2 linked regions of the Caenorhabditis elegans genome follow. The protein of the gene in region 1 purifies or fractionates together with the protein of each later gene. This does not show direct contact. Each region holds a gene or a part of one and is shown in the gene's direction. Other genes may lie near its edges. The genes, in order: smg-4 and smg-2.

Region 1 (10,571 bases):
ATGATGCAGGATCAACAGGATGATCAACCATTTAATGAGTTTTTTGGAGAAGTTTTAGAAAATAGAGAACCTCACTTGACGAATGCTTCGATAATAGTTCAAGAGGAAGTTGTGGTAGAAACAGAGGTTGGATAATGTTAATATCATGAATCAGAATTTTATTAATGCTTTTGATTTTGCAGGAAGGATTGGTTGAAGATGGAGAAATTGAGGCAAGCAATCGTATAGTCTATTCTGGCGTTCCTGAGCCACTGCTCAGCCCAATACCAAAGGATCTCTCTTTCCGAATGCAACCTGGCACAACGCCAGGTAGAGTCGGGCAACCTGTACAACCAATGAAGCCAGACAATGCTATACCGAAAAAAGCAGCACCAGTGCCTTTTGAACCAAAACTAGAAGATAGAGAACGAATAATTAGAAGATCAGGAGGAAGGTGTGTGGATTTCAATCATTTAAATTGATAATCAGTGTTGTTCAGATCGCAGTCTAGAAGCTTAAGGTATGGAAGTTCTCCCCAACAAAGTCGTCCGGTAGAGGAACAGAAACGTCATCGAGATACGGAAAAGGAAAGAGAACGAGATCACGAGGTATTTATTGTGTTTTGTGCATGTTTCTAAGTATTACAATCCTCTCATTCCCTTTGTTTCTGTCTGTCCTGCTTGATTTTTTGTTGTTGCTTTGTAGAAAAGAACGGATCGAGACCGAGACCGAGAGAAGCGAAAAGACAAGCATGAATCCGATGTCACTTCTCACCCCACTATCACACGACACCGTCGCTATTCCGAGGCACATCACAGTACAAATGTTCAGAGCGATAGAGAATCTATATCATCCACGTCGTCTCGATCCAATGCTCCCGAGAAACGAGAACGAGATGCGGAGAAGGAGAGAAAAAGAAAAGATAAAGAGCATCGGCGGGCATTAGAAGCTGACAACAACAAATATCATGCAAGAGAAAAGGAAAAACAGAAGCAGCCATCTTTTCATCAGAAATCGAATGAGCAGCAGACATCTGAAATTCCTGTCATCATTCGGACAACGCAAGTGGGTGGAAGTGACAAGCCAAAGGATCCAAGAAAACAACCGATTGGATCACCCAGTTCGGCGAAGCGAAAGCATGATGATGTGGCAAGACGTGAATTCAAAATCCCCAAAAAGCATTCATCCTCGTCAAAACCTGATAGTCGGTATGGAAGTAGTTCGCATCCCAAAGAGTCATCGGCTATGCAATCAAAACCATACAAATCAAGTTATACGGTAATGAAAAATCATCTTTAAAATGTTTTTATTTCTATTTTCAGAAATCACAAGCAGATCAAGAGTTGTGTGACGGAGACGATCGTAAAGATTCCACTCATTTTCTCAATCCTGTTGGGCACCTTGCGCGGTGTAAGTATTTGTTTAATTTTGCAAGTGGTGTCAGAGTGTACCATATCGTGGTGATTTACAATAATTGATGGAATTTTCCTCCCAGAAAAGTCGATTGCCCCGAAATGGGAACCTGCGGTACCACTTTCTTTTGTTTTCTTTTCTTCTAATGATTCACCACTTTTTTAAATAACGAAAACTCACAACACGATAATAGTAGCTTCAGTATCATCACTTCTGGTCAATTGCGATACAACGTACCAACAATTTCATGATGATTTGCAAGAAAAGATATCAAAGTCGCGTAGATCAGCAAATTTGCCCTCATTGTCGCCTGCAAACTCGGAAGAGTATTCCCATAATAATATTCCAGTGAACAATCATCCAAAAGGTCAATCCTTTGCTCCGAGAAAAGGAGCTTTATTGAGTGCTAAACCGGTATGTTACACGTACTCAATATGTCTAAACAGTACTGATCTTTCAGAAACTGTCACCAACTTCATCCAGCCACTCAACTGATCCAGAAAGTAGCTCCTGTGCTAGTTCAGACAATGAAACTTCAGATGCTACTTCGCAGAGAAGTGTCGCCCGATCTCCAGACGCCAAAAAGACTCGTTTAAGTTCACTCGATCTATCAAAAGCAGAAAAAATGTTAGATAGAATTCATGGTCCAAAATAGAATTTATTATTTCGTTTTCATATAATTAATCTTATTTATTATTTTCCGGGTATGTCCACAAGTCATTCAAAACATTTTTCCATTCTATAATTCAGCTGTGTTACTTTTTTTATGTATATCCTATGATCCTATATCATGTTCCCATTTTTTTTGTCCGTTCAATAGGTTCTCCCAACCATATCAATTGTATTCCTGTAACTTGAGTTTTAGGCATATCCCAGCCGATTACAAATATTGTTTTATGGAAGAGTTAGTCTTGAAACTTATTTTCCCGCTTTTCGTACCCATTAGAATTTCAATTTTTGGTTTTTCAGTTCGAACCCCTTCTGATGAAGTTTCAATCGTCTTAAAATACGCTTAATCTGATTATATTTGGTAATATATTCCGTGTATAGATTTTTACTTTGTTAGAAATATGAAAGCAGCTTCTCAAATATTATTTCAGAATGTTTATTCTACGATTATCAAGGCAGACAGTTTTGTCATTTCGTAATCTGAGTATTGGTAGGTGAGCAGAATTTTCTATATTTCCAAAATTTTATTGATCTCTCAGTTCTGAAGTGGCAGCTCCTTCTGCATTTGCAAATGATAGGTGGTCAGTGTTAGTTGTGCATCCAAAGGTTCGATGGGGATCTGGATCAGCTTCAGTATTGAAACAAGCAGATCGACAACTTGAAGAAGCTGTTGCACTTGTCGATAATCTTCCAAATATGAATGCTGTTGAGTAGGTTTTGGAATGATATTAATTGATATAACTCATCTAATTTCAGCAGTCTTATCATGCCAGTCGACTACAATACAAAAAGGAAAGCTGTTTGGGCGTCTGGAAATTTAGAAAAGTTGATTGCTCGACGAGAAGCTGCACGTGCCACTGCATTAATGGTGAATGTTGATGCATTGAGCCCATCGCAGCAACAAGAACTCTACCGAATTTTCGAAGTTCCTATTTTTGATCGATACAACATTGTTTTGGCAACTTTCAAACAATTTGCAAAAACTGAAGAAGCTCGGATTCAGATTGCTATTGCCGAAATTCCGTACATCAAACATCGAATTCATGCTCTTTCATCGAAACGATTGCATTCACGTCCGGATATTCTACACATTGACTCACACTATTCCGATATCGATGGCGATCTGAATGAAATTCTTCGAAAACGAGAGCAAGACCTACGTAAAGAGCTAAAAGATGTGACTCGGAAAAATGTTGGACAACTCGGTGTGAGAAATTCATCAGACGCCGTTGTTGCAGTTGTCGGATACACGAATTCTGGAAAAACTAGTTTAGTGAAAAAACTGACTGGAGCCGCATCCCTGACGCCGAAGGATCAGTTGTTTGCCACATTGGACACCACACGCCACTTGGCAAAGTTACCTTCTGGTCGATCAGCTGTGTTTACTGATACAATCGGATTTTTGAGCGATTTGCCAATGCATTTGATTGCGGCATTCGAAGCTACGCTGGCTCATGTGAAATCTGCGGTGAGTCATGAGTCATTGAACAAAAAGTTTTAATTCGTTTTCGAAATTCAAATTCGTTATAAAAATCGTGATATTTATTTTTTGTAGGATGTGATAATCCACCTTCGAGACATTTCCAATCCGGACTGGAAAGCACAAGAAGAAGATGTTCTGGCAACACTTAAATCCATTGGAGTTACAGATTATGTACTCAACGAAAGGATAATTTCTGTTGATAACAAGGTGATATTTAGAAAAGTTTTCTTCCTTTTCCTAATTTTTATTGTTCAGATCGACAAAGAATCTGCATTTCCCACTTCCGAATCAAACAATTCCGTACGAATTTCGTGTAAAACAGGTGATGGTATGCATGAACTCATTGATGTTATCAACGATAAAGTTACAATGGTTACAAAGTGCAAAACGATTCGACTTCGTCTGGATGCTCGATCACCAGTAATTGAATGGCTTTATCATAACGAATTAGTGGTCATTGAGCCCACCATCGATGGAAATTATTTAATTTTTGACGTTGTTATGAACGAATCGGAAATCGGTCGATTCCGTAAAAAATTTGCTCATTTAAAAAAGAAGAACTCACAATCTGTTTCTCTATAAAATAGTAATAAATATTTTTTATTTATTTTACAACTGCTTATTTGTTTTATTCATCCGGTCTGCACCCGTTAAATTAATTCTTGATTCTTTTAAAAATGTAGTAATTTTTATTATTTTTATTATTTTATTTATTATTTTCAGAATGACCGATTCAAAAGACGGTCATGTGAAAGTCGTGTTGCGTCGTCTTCCAAAATACATGACGGAGCATGAAGTTCTTGAACAGATTAGTCCACTACCAGAAGAAGTCATTGGAACCTATTTTCATCCTGCTAACTTTTCGTGTGTTCTAAAAATTTGATGTTTTGCTTCTAAAGTCATAAACATTTTTTCAGGTTCGACCGATGTGCTTATGCAACGCTTACAGTAAATTTTTCCGAATACTGTGATTCAATGATGGAATTTGAACGGCGATTCGATGGATACATTTTTGTCGATTCTCGTGGAAATGATTCTGCTGCAGTTGTTGAAGCTGCTTCCAATCAGAACTTTGCAAAATGTGATCGTAATCGAATGAAGGAAGATACACGTGTTGGAGCTATTCTCACTGATAAATACTATTTGGATTTCTGTAAGAAGCTTGAAGAAGAAAGAGCTATTCCAATTCTGACTCTGGAACAACAAATTCGGAAACTTAATCAGCCTGATGATGCTAGAACTCGTTAGTATTTGATTTTTCTTAAAATATTAAAACATCATTATTATTATTATAGAAATCGATAAAATGGAAACACCACTTGTCAAGTATTTCTTCGAAAAAGAAACTGGAAAGCGGAGAGATTACGATGCTCGCAGACAGAGACGTGACGAAAAGAGAGCTGAGAAGCGTGATAAAGTTGATAAATTTGAAAAGCATAAGAATGTTCTGGATATCCTTATGAAGCCCAGCGTTCCGATGGCTTCAACGTCTGCAACCACGTCGAAGAAGGATTTGAAGAAGGAAAAACCTATGACAGAAAAAGAAAAAGAACGGTGGGAGAAGCAGGACGCAAAAAGAAAAGAACGAAATATGATTCGCAAACAAAAGTTTCTTGATGAGAAGAAGAAGAAACATGAAGAGCGGGAACAAGATGGACCACGTGTTCCAAGAGATAAAAAAAAGGAACGTCTCGCAAAACCTCCCCGTCCATCTCCAGCTAAAACTGTTGGCGAGCAACAAGGCGAGGATTGGATTAAGAAATTAACTGATCCGAAGTCAGCTCCAATGAAAAAGAAACACGATGTAAGTTTCATTTTTCATTTCTCAAAATTTTTATAAGTTCTGAGCTTGTTTGAAATACGAATTAAAATGATCAGACATCATATTAAAGTACATACTTTTTAAAACTTTGTCTGGTCAAAAAAAATGAAAATTGCTCTGTTTGATATTAATAACTTTGAGGTTGACCAAAAAGTTGTTTTCTACAAATTATATTCAAAAAATCTAAATAATCTGAATTTTTTGAAAAATTGACATTTTGCCAAAACTTGAACCGTAGGTTCTAGGAACTATTTTACTGAGATTTGATGAAATAGTTCACTTTTTTCTGAATAAAAAAAAGTTACTAAACTCTTTAAAAGCTTTCAGTCACCACCAAACTGAATAAGGAAACCGATACACGGCCACGAACGGCACCATCTTCTACAAAACTCCCAACTCGTGCAACTACGTCCAATCATCCAAAACGTCCATCCACTGCACCGAATCATTAGCAATTGTTGTTAAAGATTAATGTTGATTATAAGAGGAGTAAATGGATTTTTTTTGTTTGATTGTGAAACCGTCATAATCGTTTTCTATGTGCTACATTTCTAATATGTTCACTTATTCCATTCTCTGTATTTTCGATTATCAAACATTCGAAACTCATCTTATGATTTTCTACCCTCCATTATTACAGCTTATGTACTCGTTTTTTCCCTTTTTCCTTACTCGCTTTATAGTTTTGGAAAATAAATTATAAATACATTTTTTGTGTTATGCTATTTCATTCTAACGGGAAGTCCCTGTGGGAATGTCTCCTCATTTTCTTGACAGCCTCCGTCAATTCTTCACTAAAGTGTTGTTTAGGTGACCGGAGGACGAGACCATCTGCGCGTACAAAATGGTAAGGAATACCAATTAGAATGTGCTCGGAGAGACATAAGCACAAGTTTCTTCCGCGCGGATAATTAGGGTTGACTTTTTCTATTTACGAACAAAGCAATCCGATAATTAGCATAATAACTTGAGAATTTCAGCCTTTTCTTGCTCTCGAACTGAAGTGTCAATTGAAAGGTATCACTGATCTTCGTCCGGATGACACTGATTCGTTTCATTGGCACATGAAACTTAAGTGTACTAATTGTGGTGAAGCTCCAGATCACTGGCAGTATGTAGTGCTCAATGTGAGATATTTCTAGAATGTTTTCTTTTAAGAAACAAATCTATTTTAGGAGATGCTTGATGTTCCAGGAAGTCGTGGTGAGGCAAATCTTGTGGAAAAATGCAAGCTGTGTGGAAGAGTCAACACTTTGAGTGAGTGAATCTTAAAATATCTGGGATCAAAGTTTTGCGAGAAAATCAAATTAAGTATATATAAACATTTTCAGCCATTGTCGAGGATATGTTCAAAAGCTACAACATCGAACAAAACGAGAAATGGCAACAGATTGCAGTGTTCGATTGCCGTGGACTTGAACCGTTTGATTTTGATCCGAGAGTACGAAATTTTGAATATATTTAATTCAAAAATGTGTGATTTTTGTAGGACGAATGGATTGCCAAAAGCGTTGAAACTGGAAACGCATTCCACGAGATTGATTTGAGTGAGAAGGAATGGGTGGACTTTGATGATAAAGCAATGGAAGCCGTTGAGATTAGCGAGATGTCCTCCCAATTCACCACCATTCGTGATCCAAAGAAGAAGTGAAAAGTTTAAAGCATTCCATTATTCCACGTGCCCTACTATTATTTTTATCCAATCTGATGTACTGATTTTGTAAAAATGATAAACTTTATATATACGCAACAAAACATTAATTTCAATAGTATAAGTATTGCTTTTTGGTTGAGAAAGCTGATCGCATGGAGATGGAAAACTGTATGCATGAAAAAATGAATAAGAGAATGTGTACTGTTATCTGAAAAATGTGTTTTCCGCGTGGTGGAACCGTAGGATATAAAAATAATTTTCATCTTTCAACGTCTACGTAATAAGTTACAGTAACCCGTGTCAATTTGGGGGATCGTTTTGCTTTCTAATTTTTTATTGTAAAAAACCACATGGTGTCAGGCTGTCCCATTACGGCTTGATCTACAAAAAGTGCGGGAAGTTTTTCGCAAAAAATGGGACGTCAGCACGTTCTTAACCATGAAAATACAGTTGAGAAGTCTAAATCCCTCGTTTTTGTAGATTAAACGGATATGGGACACTTTGACACGACGTGAAAAACTTGTGTATTTATTTGGAAAAAGATTATTCTCAAGTGACCCTAAAATTGGCACGTTACAGGAACATCCATGATTTGGCAAAAATTAGGATCTTTAGACGTCAACGAAATAGTCAAATTTACCTGAATAGCAGCAATCTCTCTTTCAGTTTCCTGTGGTAACCAATCAATATATGGATGAGTAAAATGAACAACTCTCATACAATATGCTTCTCGATGTGACAACCAATGGCAATGCCTTGTAATCATATGCGGAACAGTATTTCGATTAAACCAGCAGAATATACCAAAACTTGTGGTAGCATTCATAAGAACTGCGAATGCTGCTCCAATAATGTTTAAAGCTCTAGTTGTTGAACCATGACATTTAGTTCTCCATGAAACAATTCCTTGAAGTAATGAAAACATTCCAATTGCCAATGGAAGATATAGAAAAAAGAATGTGCAACAGTAACGAAGATGAAAAAATGAAACAATAATGATAAATATTGATATGACGACTTGATAGTGATAAGAGTATAAACGGATTCTGAAACTTAAATGTAAAATTACATTTTCAATATTAAAATTACTTGGTTTCGGTTGCACTGTAGAATGTGAGTAGAGTACATATTAATAGATGAATACCAGATAAAATAGTCAAAGAAATTGATGTGAAAAACCGAATCCATTCGCGTTCCTGAAAAAGTTGGTATATTCAAGCCATTATTGCGAATTGGGCATTGTATCTCGCCGTAATGCCTACTATGGCCTACCGTACTCCCTACGTTACTGTACGATCAGGGGCAAAATGGGAAATGATTAAAAAGTGTGAAGCCCGCAGCAAGGTATGGATATGGTAAAGTTTTTTGTTCATTATGCATAATTTTTGAGCCACTTTTCAAGGCATTTCTTGCTAAAGGTTGCGATAGCCACGTTAAAATAAGTTCTAGCGCTACATTTTCAATCTATGAAATTATAAACTTTTTGAAATTTTTTAAAATGAAAATGCTAAAGATGGCCCTTCCCATCAGTGTGTCACAAAACGAGTTTCAAAGATTTTTCAAAGGCTGTATGTAGTAAAAAGAAAAAAGAAAAATTACTTTTAGAAAAAGAACTGCTAAAAACTTTAATATCTGCCTTAATTTCAAAGAACCTAATTTTCATCCTTGAAACAACTCGCCTCCAAAAATGAAACAAAACCTGGTATTGAGTAACAACGTAACGCAAAGTCACCCTACCTACAGTACTAAAATTTTTCGTTTTTTATAGTTAGGAATCCATATGATTTATTATTCTTGTCATATACATGCATTACCTTAGGTTCCCATCCAAATTTATCGAGAATCGACAATTGTAAATTAGCGAGTAAATCGTTGCAAGACCCAACCATTGCAATTGTTCGATATTTTAATCCGTGGCATACTCCATCTTTAATTGTTTCATCTGCATCTGAAAAATAATTTTTAAATCTAAAATTTTAAATGCAAATAACTCTTACATTTAAACTCATTTATACAGTATGTTTCCATTAACGACGAGAAAAAGAAGAAAAATCCAATTGAAGAACATGTTAATTGTAAATAGAAATCACATCTAAAAATTTCAAAATTTAATATTGAAAACATTAAATTTTATAAATACCGATTTGGGTACCGAAGAAAAATTGCATGGAATGCTGTGACCAACCCGAAAGCAGAATTGATAAATGGGAATAAAAAGAAAAATAATGGAGAACAGTAGGCAATGTGTGCTCCTCCAAGAGCGAATTCAAACTTAAAATAAATATATTATAGTGTTCATCAGAAGCGAGTTTTTTTGATAATGCGAGGAAAATATAATGTACTTCAACATTGGGCAAAAATATAATCCATGTTTCAACTTTTGGGGTGTTTTCGCATGCAGTGTTTTTTAATAACACAATTTCAATTGATGTATTGAATAAAAGTTTCAATACTACTACTAGAACGATTTTCTATATTTTTGTATTTCAATCAAAACCACTTACCACTGCAACCACCGCCAATAACGGATATAAACTCCATTTAGGTCCTGTCGATGCCATTTTTGTGGAACGAGAATGAACTCAAAGCACAAGTCTAATTAAGAATGTATGAAGGAAAGCAGTCGCAAAAAACCAAGAATTGACAAAACTATGGAGGACTAACGAGATGAAAGTCTTCGATGAACGGAGGGAGTTGTCGTCGGAAAAAAGAAAGAGTAGGAGCAAAAGGGAAAAGGGATGACACGATGAGATGACAGCAAAATCTGCAAAAGTGAGGAGACAGAAAGCTTGTAGGAGCAAGAGGAAGCTCCAATTTTTTCCGAGGGAAATAGAAATCAAATCAACGAATTGTGAGGGAGTCATGATGATGATGATGATTATGATGGTTTTGGGAAGAAACATGGGAGCATCTTCTTCTGGTTTTTGGTTTCCAGAATATGATCTTGAGGGCGAGTGCATTAAACTTTCGGGGTCCAACAGTGAAAATTCATATTACCGTTGTTAATATTAGTCTTGAACTCCAACTGCTCCAGCCCATATATTGATTAACTTTGGTTTGATCCAAGTGATCAACTTTGAAAATTGATAAAATTAAAAGCCAGGATCAAAGTCATCCTTTTTATAGACCTGGACGCAACCGTACCATAATCTTCCAATTGGGTAAATGGAATGAAACAGTGAATAAATCTGCTAAAATTCTACAAAGAAATGTCTGCTTTCAAAAATAAATTAATGGATCCACTTACTCACAAATGACTTCTACAGTCTAATTTTTTTTAAGTTTGAAAATTTAATTTCAAACTATACTGTTGTACTTCTCATTGCTAGATAATTTTTCCGCTTTTTGCCATTTGATAATAATATTTTGATGAAAAAAACATACGCTATCTTGAATATGGTTACTTTCAAAAACAACTGGCCGTATGTGTTCTACTCAAAAGTTTCTCTAAATTTAATAGATCATTTCGGTAATTACAATTTGTTTTATGAGGTTATAATGATTAGTATCATTCAATAAATATACTTGAGCATGATGAGAGGAGAAGTGCC
Region 2 (11,722 bases), on another chromosome or scaffold:
CATTTCTCATTGCATTTTTCGCGCTCCATTGACAATCGCCTGGGAAAGTCGTGTACTCTACACGGACAAATACATTTAGTTTTACAACTAAAATCGAGCCGCGACGCGACACGCAACGCGCCGTAAATCTACCCCAGATATGGCCGAGCCAAAATGGCCTAGTTTGGCGAAAACTCTTCCATTTCAATTTATGAGCGAACCCAGAAATCCGTGAAAGTTAAAACTACGAGAAAAAAAGGAAGTTTTTTTCAAAATTTGATTTTTTTGGCAGTTTTCAGATAAAAAAAACAGGATTTCCTTTTTTTCAATTTTAACTTTTTTAGAACAAAAATACAGGGTCTCGACACGACAATTTTTCGGTATAAATCAATCTGCGCCTTGAGGGTACTGTATTTTCGAGCTTTTCCTTTCTGCGAATTTTTTTCCCAAAATCGTGGGAAAAAAATAATTTTTACAACTACAGTAACCTTTAAAGGCGCACATCTTTCTGTATTTATAAGGAATTGTCGGAACCCAGAAATCCGTGTAATGCCTAAAAAAAAAATAATGTCCCAAAAAATTTTTTTTTGTTTTCAAATATTTGTTTTAGTTTTTGATTAATTTTCAGTATTTTTCTGCTTTAACTTTTTGAAAAATTAATTAGGGAAAACTCTAAAATTTTCAATTTTTCGTGTTTAATTTTCTCTAATTTTCAAAAATAAAATCAAAATTTAAAAAATTTACTCTAAAAAATTCTGAAAAAAACTTTAAATTTAATTTTTCTGCATAGTTTTCTTGTTTCCACTATTTTTATTTTTCAAATATTTTTAAATAAATTGAGTTACAGAAAAAAATTTCGATTTTTTTTGAAAATTTTTAAAGAGCTTCAGAAAAAAAATTATTAACTTTTTGTACAGTTTTCTAGCTTTCATAATCATTTTTAAAGGTGGAGTACTGAAATTTGGAAAATATATTTAATAGATTCCAAATTTTCCCCTAATTCCGAATATCTATGTGAAAAAATCCAAAAAAAAATTCCCCTAATTTTATATTTAAGCTTGAAATCGCTTGTTCCGGAATCGCTTTTTTTCAAATTCGCGCCCAAAGAAATTCGCATTGGAGCGCTTTTTTTTTAAATTTTCTTCATTTAAATATTTCATTTATTTTTCGCCGAATTCAGTTTTTCAAAATCAGTTGCATTTATTTTTGTCGAAAAAAACCGATAAAAACTCGACTAAAATGAATGAAACTAGTTTTAAAAACACTGAATTCGGCGAAAAATAAATAAAATAAATATTTATAAATGAAGAAAATCAAAGCGCGCTCCAATGCGAATTTCTTTGGGCGCGAATTTGAAAAAAGTGATGCCGGAACAAGCGATTTCAAGCGTGCATATAAAATCAGGGAAATTTTTTTTTGATTTTTTCACATAGATATTCGGAATTAGGGGAAAATTTGGAGTCAGTTAAAAATATTTAATAGATTTCGGTACTCCACCTTTAAAAATGATTATGAAAGCTATAAAACTGTACAAAAAGTTAATAATTTTTTTTCTGAAGCTCTTTAAAAATTTTCAAAAAAAATTAAATTTTCAAAAGAAAATTTTCAAAAGAAATTTTTCTATTTTTCTAAAAAAAAAATTTTTGTAAAGTTTTTTCACAAATTAAATTTTTTTTTTCTGTAACTCAATTTGTTTAAAAATATTTGAAAAATAAAAATAGTGGAAACAAGAAAACTATGCAGAAAAATTAAATTTAAAGTTTTTTTCAGAATTTTTTAGAGTAAATTTTTTAAATTTTGATTTTATTTTTGAAAATTAGAGAAAATTAAACACGAAAAATAGAAAATTTTAGAGTTTTCCCTAATTAATTTTTCAAAAAGTTAACGCAGAAAAATACTGAAAATTAATCAAAAACTAAAACAAATAATTGAAAAAAAAATTTTTTTTGGGACAATTTTTTTTTCAGACATTACACGGATTTCTGGGTTCCGACAATTCCTTATAAATACAGAAAGATGTGCGCCTTTAAAGGTTACTGTAGTTGTAAAAATTATTTTTTTCCCACGATTTCGGGAAAAAAATTCGCAGAAAGGAAAAGCTCGAAAATACAGTAGTACCCTCTTTAAAGGCGCAGATTGATTTATACCGAAAAATTGTCGTGTCGAGACCCTGTATTTTTGTTCTAAAAAAGTTAAAATTGAAAAAAAGGAAATCCTGTTTTTTTATCTGAAAACTGCCAAAAAAATCAAATTCAAAAATCAAACATTTTAGAGTTTTCCCTAATTAATTTTTCAAAAAGTTAAAGCAGAAAAATACTGAAAATTAATCAAAAACTAAAACAAATATTTGAAAAAAAAAAATTTTTTGGGACAATTTTTTTTTCGGGGATCAGGGGAAATTTTGGAGTCAATCCATCTTTAAATTGCAAAAAATTAAAAATGTCGAGTTTTCAAAAAGATTTTTTTTACTGAAAAAAACCGAAAAAATCGGAATTTAAAAAACTAGGCCACCAAAATTTCACCGCGGCCACCCACGCTCTTACATGAGAATCAAAAAATGCCATATCATGGTGCAATAGCTTCTGAAACAAGTCCGACCGCATTTTCGTCGCCATTCGTTCTCCGAGAACCGTTAAAAATGTGATATAAAGAAATGTGAGAGCAGATTGTGCAACATATAGTGTCATTAAGTGCAGAGCAGATGGCTTGAGCTGTTCAAAATGAGATCGTAAATTGTTCGACTCGTCCTTGATGATTTTCACGATTCCGTTCACCAAATCGCCCAGGCATAGTGGAATTTGAATGTTGATGTAGGCTGAGAGGATGGCGCACTGCAAAAAAAACTGATAATTTTTCTCAATTTTTTAAGGAAAAATTGACTAAAATTAAAATTTTTTTGTTTTTAAAATTTTTTCTGGTGAAATTCCGAAAAAATTACAAGATTTTCGTACAATTTAATGTAGAAATTAAAATTTTTAGCCCCCCAAAATAACTGAAAAACTTCAAATTCCGAGATTTAAAACAAAAATTTTGTAATTTTTTGTAATTTATCCGGACAAAACCGACTTTTAGCCAATTTTTTCTTTAAATGTGGACTCCACTCTGTGGGAAAATTGCTTTAAAACATGCCTATGAGGCCATAATGACCGAATATCATTAATTCGTATGAAATCAATGAAATTTCATAGTTAAATTGGAAAATGGCAACATTTTTGCTTAAAATTTGTAAAAAATCATGTTTTTTGGGCATTTTTGGTGATTTTCTTTCGATTTTTATGATATTTCGGCGGTTTTCACCCAATTTCATTAGAAAAAATTGAAAAAATCTCAGTTTTTGCCTAATTCCTAATTGAATTTCCGCCAATTGGATTCGTTCGTTGGAGCGCACTTGCATTATTTTCATTAATTTTTTAAAATTATTTTTTATTATTTCACTGATTTTCTTCATTATTTGTGCATTTTTATCGGAAAAAAGAACTGAAAAAGCAAGAAAAATACAAAATGTTTGTTAAAAAGTAACTGAAAATGCGTAAAACTGTGATTTTTTGAGTTCTGAGGACGACGAGCCTGAAATTTGTATTATTCATGGAGTTTTAGGTATTTTTAGTCACTTTTTCATAAACATTTTGCATTTTTCTTGTTTATTTCGTTCATATTCCGATCAAAAACCCCTAAAAATGAAGAAAATCAATGAAATAATGATAAAAAAAATAATGCAAGCGCGCTCCACCGAACAAGTTCAATTGGCGGAAATTCAAATAGGAATTAGGGGAAAACTGAGATTTTTTCAATTTTTTCTAATGAAATTGGGTAAAAACCGCCGAAAAATCATAAAAATCGAAAGAAAATCACCAAAAATGCCCAAAAAACATGATTTTTTACAAATTTTAAGCAAAAATGTTGCCATTTTCCAATTTAACTATGAAATTTCATTGATTTCATACGAATTAATGCGGAAATTAAAGTTTTTTTGCTGGAAAATTGACAGGAAACCTGAAATAAAATTAAAAAGCAAGATTTTAGGTGAAAATTGCACAATTTTTTGTAAGTTAACTATAAAAATACGTATTTTTCTCGATTTTTCCCAGTTTTCAACCGGATTTTTATCGAAAAATTCACCACAACTGCAGCGAAAAACCAGCCGAAAAAGGGTTTAATCAAATTCCACAGCTCTCCGGCCGTCATTGACGCATTCTGATCCTCCGTCGTCCTCAAATGGTCGATGCGTTTGCTCAATTTCGGAGCACATGCCGCTTTTCGTAGGGTTACAGCTCCTAAACCGGCTCCAAACCCACAAATTCGCCATGTTTTGAGTATTGTTGTCCTTGAAATCGGTTTGTGAAGCCATGGATAGCTGGAAAAGCTGCAAAAAACGGGAAAATATATGGAAAAATGGAAAATCAGCAGATTTTTGCAGATCTTACCAGTGTTTGCTGCTTTGCACGGCGCTTTTGATGGATATTTGGGATAGTTTAGATAGAATTGACATTAAAAACCAGGAAAAATCAATACAAATCAATAAAAATCAGTTCTTATCAGCGATTTTTTCCGATTTTCCAAGAAAAATAATAATCGAGAAAACATAAACTCCGTGCGGCACACTTGCAAAAACCGTGCGCCCACCTTGCAATGAGGTGTTTTTATCATATTTTTTCATTTTTCGACCGTTTTTCGCAATTTTTTCTAACAAAACCTCATTTTTTGTATGAAAATGTTGAAAAAATATGCATTTTCATGGTTAAATTGTTAAAAATCACACAATTTTCGCTTAAAATCATCTAAAATGATGAAATATTGCTCATTTTAAAAGTTGGGGGGATTTTTCAGTTTGTTTTTCAAATTTGAGCTCAAATTTTAGGCATTTTTACCTTTTTCCGATAAAAAGTGAGCGGAAATTGAAAATTTTCAATTTTAATTGTTGAAATTTCCAAAAATGCACCCGCTTTGTGATTAAATTAACACAGTTCTCATTTTCGAAGGTTTTCCGCCAATTTTCGGCAAAAATGTTGAATTTTTACATGAAAAATCTGCAAAAATAAGTGTAAAAGTGGTAAAAAATTACGAAATATTGCTCATTGTTAGATTTTGCAATTTGAAAAATGCTTTTTTGTACTTTTTTCACCTATTTTACTCGAATACCGACAAATTTCTCATGAATGCTATCGATTTCTCATTCCAAAACCCCTCAAAAACGCACTTTTCTTCCAGTAATGGACGATTCGGACGACGAATATTCGAGAAGCCACGGGGAAACCCTCACATTTGTGGATCCCGAGGACGATGGAGTCTCTATTGGGAACACGCAGGACTCTCAGTTCGCCTATGAGCAGTTTAGTGTGCCTACGCAGAGTTCTCAGGTAGAAAATTGCCGCATTTGTGTCAAAAAATCGAAGGAAAATTCTGGATTTTGCTGAAAAATCAAGTTTTTCACATGATTTTTCAGAGAAATTTGTATTCAAAATCCTTTGAATTGATAGACTTTACACACTGAAAAAAACGATGAAAATCATGAAAAAAAAACCACTCGAAAATGGACAAAACCGATGGAATTTGTGATTTTTATTTTCAATTTTTGTTCGAAAATGAGTATAATCCCGTCAATTTGCAATTTTCAGATGCTTTTTTGCCCACTTTGCCCAATCAATTTTTCGTGCAAATTTCAAGAAAAATCGATCCAAAAGCTCGAAAAAATTAGATTTTTGTGCAAAAATTGCAAAATTTTTTGAATTTGGCCATTTTCGATTAGTTTTTCTTGTAATTTTCAAGAAAACAAACCGTCCAATTTTTTTTGGAGATGTTTTGTGATATAAATTATCTTTTCCAACAATATCAACGATTTTCTAGAAGCTCAACGTTAAAAAAGGTTAGAAAATTAGATTATACTATTACGGGAACACAAAATTCTGAGAATGCGTATTGCACAACATATTTGACGCGCAAAATATCTCGTAGCGAAAACTACAGTAATTCTTTAAATGACTACTGTAGGTCGATTTACGGGCTCGATTTTCATTTTTCCTTCGCCAAAATCGAGATTCCGTAAATCGACACTACAGTAGTCATTTAAAGAATTACTGTAGTTTTCGCTACGAGATATTTTGCGCGTCAAATATGTTGTGTAATACGCATTCTTAGAATTTTGTGTTCCCGTAATAGTATAATCTAATTTTCTAACCTTTCTTAACGTTGAGCTTGCTCTGGAAAAGATAATTTATATCACCAAAAACTTGTTTTAAAAAGAATTTTTCTCATTCCTTACTGTCAGGAATCTTGGAAATTGTGATTTTTTTTTCCAATATTTTTGTTTATCGCAATTTTCAGATGATTTTTGAGCACTTTGCCCACAATTTTTCGTGCTAATTTCAAGAAAATCGACCCAAAAGCGTACAAAAAATTCCAAGAAAATTCCAAAGCAATTTTAAAAATTCGACTCTCAAAAAAAAACACCTATTCCAGGCGACAGATCTTAATTTTAAATAAATTTTTATTCAAAATCCTCTGAAAGTGGAAATTTCAGTGGAAAAAAACCAAGAAAATCATAGAAAAGTCCCTTAAAATCAATTTTTTTTGTCAATTTTTCAAAATTCTCAACAAAAAAAAACCCATATTCCAGGCGACAGATCTGCTGCCAGGAGGAACCGATGGAACCACCAACGATTTGCCATTTCACGACGTGGAAGACGACGAGTCGGACAGTGAAAAATCACTGACAGAAGAGCAGCAGCAGCAGAAGCTGCCGGAGCACGCGTGTCGCTATTGTGGAATCTCTGATCCTCTGTGTGTCGCCAAATGCACAGTCTGCAGGAAATGGTTCTGTAATTCCAATGATGGAACGTCGGGCGGGCATATTGTTCATCATATGGTTCGGAGTCAGCATAAGGAAGCCTACACGCATAAGGATTCACCGTGTGGTGACACTCAATTGGAATGCTATCGTTGTGGTTCGAAAAACGTGTTTAATCTCGGCTTCATCCCCGGAAAAAAGGATCAAGTCGTCGTGATAATCTGTAGAACACCGTGCGCCAGTATTGCATTCCAGAATGATGATAATTGGTCGCCCGAGGACTGGAAATCTGTAATCGCTGAAAAACAGCTGCTATCGTGGATTGTTAATGTGCCCAGCGAGGAGCAGGTGGCCAGAGCTAGGAAAATCACGTTAGTGGAGGAAAATCGATTTTTGAGAAAAATTTTAAAATAATAATTAAAGGAATTTCCAACCAAAAATGCAATTTCCGAGCGATCGAATTTTAACAATTTTTAACTAAATCTCGCCGTCCATCGACTTTAAAATACCTAAATCGAGTTGAAAACGCAAGATAATTAAATTGTATACTCAAAATTTGACGGTGGTTACAAAAAAAAAATAGTTTCCAGCCGCTTTACAAGTCGGTCAAATTTCAAATTTTAACTAATTTTAGGCCATTTTTTGAACCGTCATAACTTGTTTTTTGAGAAGTTTCACTATGAAATTCGGTGTTTTCTGAGTTGAATAAAGCAATTTTAAAAAATTCGACTACACCACCTTTAATATTTCTATAGCTTCGATTTTTTTGTTGATAAAAAATCTATTCCCAGTTTCCAAAAGAAATTGAAAATTGAATTTTTTTTCGAATTTTCGTGCAAAAAATTCTCAATTTCTACCGGCATTGGTGCAAAAAGCCGGAAAAACACAAGTGGTATAGTACTTTTAAATAGCTATATATATATATATATATATATGAAAAACTAAATTTTCCAGTGCTACCCAAGCAGTCCGAATGGAAGAGCTCTGGCGTGATCACCCAGAAGCAACCGTTGACGATTTAAATAAACCGGGACTCGATCGAGAACCGGATCATGTTCAATTAAGATATGTGGATGCTCATCACTATTCGAAAGTGTTCCGTCCATTAGTTGCAATTGAAGCAGAATATGATCGAAGAGTTAAAGAATCAGCATCACAAGCAGTCGGAACTGTTAGATGGGAACAAGGACTTCGTCAATCGGTTCTCGCGTTCTTTCATCTTCCACAATTTGCTGATGGTGTCATGAAGCTTGCGAAAGGCGATGAACTTCGATTGAAACATTCTCAGACGGTTGATGGATCGGAATGGACCAAGATTGGAAGTGTTTTCAAGATTCCTGATAGTAAGGGATGGGAAAAATAAAAATAAAAATTTTGAGTAGTTTTTCTTGGAATTTTCAAGAAATAACTGTCCAAAATTTTTTTTTTGGAGATTTTTCCTGATATAAATTGTATTTTCCAGTAATTTCAACGATTTTCCAGAAGCTGAAAAGGTTAGATATTTAGTTTATACTATTACGGGAACACAAAATTCTGAAAATGCGTATTACACAACATATTTGACGCGCAAAATATCTCGTAGCGAAAACTACAGTAATTCTTTAAATGACTACTGTAGGTCGATTTACGACGCGCTTGATTTTCATTTTCACACGAACGAAAAAGTGAAAATCGAGCCCGTAAATCGACGCTACAGTAGTCATTTAAAGAATTACTGTAGTTTTCGCTACGAGATATTTTGCGCGTCAAATATGTTGTGTAATACGCATTTTCAGAATTTTGTGTTCCCGTAATAGTATAAACTAAATTTCTAACCTTTTGAGCTTCTGGAAAATCGTTGAAATTATGGGAAAGTACAATTTACATCACCAAAAATCTGCAAAAAAAAAAATTTCGGTCGGTTTTTTCTTGAAAATTACAAGAAAAACTACTCGAAAATGACCAAAATCAATTTTTTTTTGAGCTTTTTTAACTTTAAATTCTTCGGAAAAATTTTTTTTCCCGCTTTTGGATCGATTTTTCTTGAAATTAGCACGAAAAATTGGGCAAAGAGCTCAAAAATCATCTGAAAATTGCAAATTTACAACAAAAAAATCACAAATTCCATCGTTTCTGGCCATTTTCGAGTGGTTTTTCTGTGAATTTCAAGAAAAATTGCACAAAAAGCTCCAAAAAATTTCACGTTTACAAATTTGCAGACCACGGCGACGAGGTAGGCATCGAAATCCGCGGAGCTGTCGACAAATCAGTGATGGAGAGTCGGATTATGTTCACCGTCGACGTCGTCTGGAACGCCACCACCTTCGAGCGACAGTACAAGGCTCTTGCGGCGCTGCTCAACGACTCCAAAGCAATATCTCCATATCTCTACCAGAAGCTTCTGGGTCATCCAGCCGAGGAAATGATGCTCAAGTTTGATCTACCGCGTCGGCTATCTGTCGCTGGACTCCCCGAGCTTAATAGCTCCCAGATGCAGGCAGTGAAGCAGGTGCTCACCCGACCTTTAAGCTTGATTCAAGGACCTCCGGGAACTGGAAAAACCGTAGTTTCGGCGACAATCGTCTATCATTTGGTGCAGAAAACCGAGGGAAACGTGCTCGTGTGCTCGCCGAGCAACATCGCCGTCGATCACTTGGCCGAGAAGATTCACAAGACGGGATTGAAGGTTGTGAGGCTTTGTGCGAGATCTCGAGAGCACAGTGAGACTACAGTACCCTACTTGACGCTTCAACATCAGCTAAAAGTGATGGGCGGTGCGGAGCTTCAGAAGCTGATTCAGTTGAAAGATGAAGCCGGGGAGCTCGAGTTTAAGGATGATTTGAGATATATGCAATTGAAAAGAGTCAAAGAGCATGAGCTTCTCGCCGCCGCTGACGTCATCTGTTGTACGTGCTCATCGGCGGCTGATGCGAGATTGTCGAAGATCCGTACGAGAACTGTGCTCATTGATGAGAGCACACAGGCGACAGAGCCCGAGATTTTGGTCTCTATTATGAGAGGAGTCAGGCAATTGGTTTTAGTTGGAGATCACTGTCAACTGGGACCGGTTGTTATATGTAAAAAGGCGGCGATTGCCGGATTGAGCCAATCTTTGTTCGAGAGACTTGTGCTTCTCGGTATTCGACCGTTCCGGCTTCAGGTTGGGTCATTTTCGGGAAAAAACTACTGAAATTCGGCATTTTAAATTGAACTTACTGAAAATTATCACTGAACCTTTAAAAAATCGATTTTCTACAACTCGGACTCTAATTTTTGAAAAATTTTGTTTGAATTTTATGAAGGTTCAGATATTTTCAGAAAGTTTACAAGTTTTCTACGAGATTAAAAAAATCGAACCAAAATTTACTTTGTAATTAAAGGTGGAGTAGCGCCAGTGGGGAAACTGCTTTAAAACATGCCTATAAGGTCACAATGACCGAATATCATGATAAAAAAATTTAAAATGTTTTTCTAAATTTTATATGATTTTTTAAAAATTGAAAAAATCTCAGTTTTTGCCTAATTCCAATTTGAATTACCGCCAATTGGATTTGTTCGATCGAGCGCGCTTGCATTATCTTCATTAATTAATTTTTTTTGTTGTTATTTTCCACCGATTTTTAATGTTTTCAGTGTATTTTTGCTTGAATTTTAGAGAAAAAGTAAAAAAAAAAGCAAATTTTCGATTAAAAAGCATGCTTACAGGCGTAAATCAGTGAGATTAGTTAATTCAGGTTCGAAATCGTTTAAAAGCGTTACTTTTTCATTTTTTACACCTGCGATCGCGTTTTTTAATCGAAAATTTGCATTTATTTTGACTTTTTCTCTAAAATTCAAGCAAAAATACACCGAATACATTGAAAATCGGTGGAAAATAACAAAAAATAAAATAAATAAATTTAAAAACGTGCAAGCGCGCTCCATCGAACAAATCCAATTGGCGGTAATTCAAATAGGAATTAGGCAAAAACTGAGATTTTTTCAATTTTCAAAAAATCAAAAATTTAGAAAACTTTTAAAAATTTTTTTATCATGATATTCGGTCATTATGGCCCCATAGGCACGTTTTAAAGCAATTTCCCCACAGGGTGTAGTCCGCCTTTAAGTGACATTTTCAAGAAAACCGCTGCATATGCTATAAAATCCAATTTCGTGAAATTTTGAGATTTAAAAAATGCAAAAAAAATCGGTTTTTTCTCGAATTTTTGACAAAGTTTGGCTACAAAATGTAGCTGTTTTTCAGTTTTTTAAATGAAAATGTTGGTATTTTTAATTTTTTTTCTAATCAAAAAACTTTTCTAAAATATTGGAAAGATCAGTTTTTCCAGAAATTTTTCCGAGGATTTCAGTAGAAAATTCCATGAAATTCTAATTTTAAACCCATTTTTCAGGTGCAATACCGTATGCATCCAGTGCTCTCAGAGTTCCCGAGCAACGTGTTTTACGATGGAAGTCTCCAGAATGGTGTCACTGAAAGTAGGCAATTTTTTATATAATTTGAATTTTTTAAAGGAAAGAAAATTACCTGAAAACTTGAAATTTCGACTTTTCCGCTTAAAAATTCCCAGAAAAATCCACCAATTTCTTTTTTTTTTCTGACGAAAAATTGTCAAGAAAAATAGAGACACGTCCCAAGATCATAAAATTATGGATTTTTCACCAGAAAATTCCAGAGAAAAAAGCATAAAATCCAATATTTACAGTTTTTCCTGACAAAATCCTGAAAAAAAACCAATTTCCCGCAGAAAGCTAGCTAAAAACTCCAAAGATTTGCTGGAAAATTCGAGAAAAAAGCTCAAATTTTACTAAAAAAAAAAACCCTTTTAATTCAATTATTTTTGCAGACGATCGCCATATGACAGGAGTCGATTGGCATTGGCCTAAACCAAATAAGCCGGCCTTCTTCTGGCATTGCAGTGGATCCGAAGAGCTTTCAGCATCTGGAACCTCATTTCTCAATAGAACAGAAGCCGCGAATGT

What was found.
Region 2: the proteins of smg-4 (region 1) and smg-2 purify together in Caenorhabditis elegans (affinity purification with western blotting, with the first as the bait; one study listed by BioGRID). This does not show direct contact.

The regions. Positions count from the first base shown.
Region 1 is NC_003283.11:9,771,440-9,782,010, reverse strand, and holds smg-4 (UPF3 domain-containing protein), read left to right. Parts: upstream 1-4,265; 5' UTR 4,266-4,268; coding exon 4,269-4,408; intron 4,409-4,461; coding exon 4,462-4,787; intron 4,788-4,839; coding exon 4,840-5,348; intron 5,349-5,686; coding exon 5,687-5,818; 3' UTR 5,819-6,076; downstream 6,077-10,571. Other genes in the region: F46B6.5 (LisH domain-containing protein), read left to right, coding at 1-126, 183-433, 479-587, 685-1,257, 1,302-1,389, 1,586-1,806, 1,853-2,047; F46B6.4 (Hflx-type G domain-containing protein), read left to right, coding at 2,494-2,555, 2,601-2,771, 2,818-3,529, 3,617-3,751, 3,800-4,126; UPF0587 protein F46B6.12, read left to right, coding at 6,211-6,213, 6,347-6,493, 6,542-6,623, 6,698-6,807, 6,856-7,017; F46B6.2 (uncharacterized protein), read right to left, coding at 7,130-7,228, 7,661-8,066, 8,110-8,216, 8,835-8,968, 9,018-9,112, 9,161-9,291, 9,525-9,581.
Region 2 is NC_003279.8:1,171,286-1,183,007, forward strand, and holds the start of smg-2 (Regulator of nonsense transcripts 1), read left to right. Parts: upstream 1-5,187; 5' UTR 5,188-5,189; coding exon 5,190-5,336; intron 5,337-6,592; coding exon 6,593-7,134; intron 7,135-7,717; coding exon 7,718-8,106; intron 8,107-8,961; coding exon 8,962-9,902; intron 9,903-11,133; coding exon 11,134-11,218; intron 11,219-11,586; coding exon 11,587-11,722. Other genes in the region: haf-6 (Mitochondrial potassium channel ATP-binding subunit), read right to left, coding at 2,523-2,810, 4,099-4,342, 4,404-4,468. UniProt on the Caenorhabditis elegans protein: RNA-dependent helicase required for nonsense-mediated decay (NMD) of aberrant mRNAs containing premature stop codons and modulates the expression level of normal mRNAs.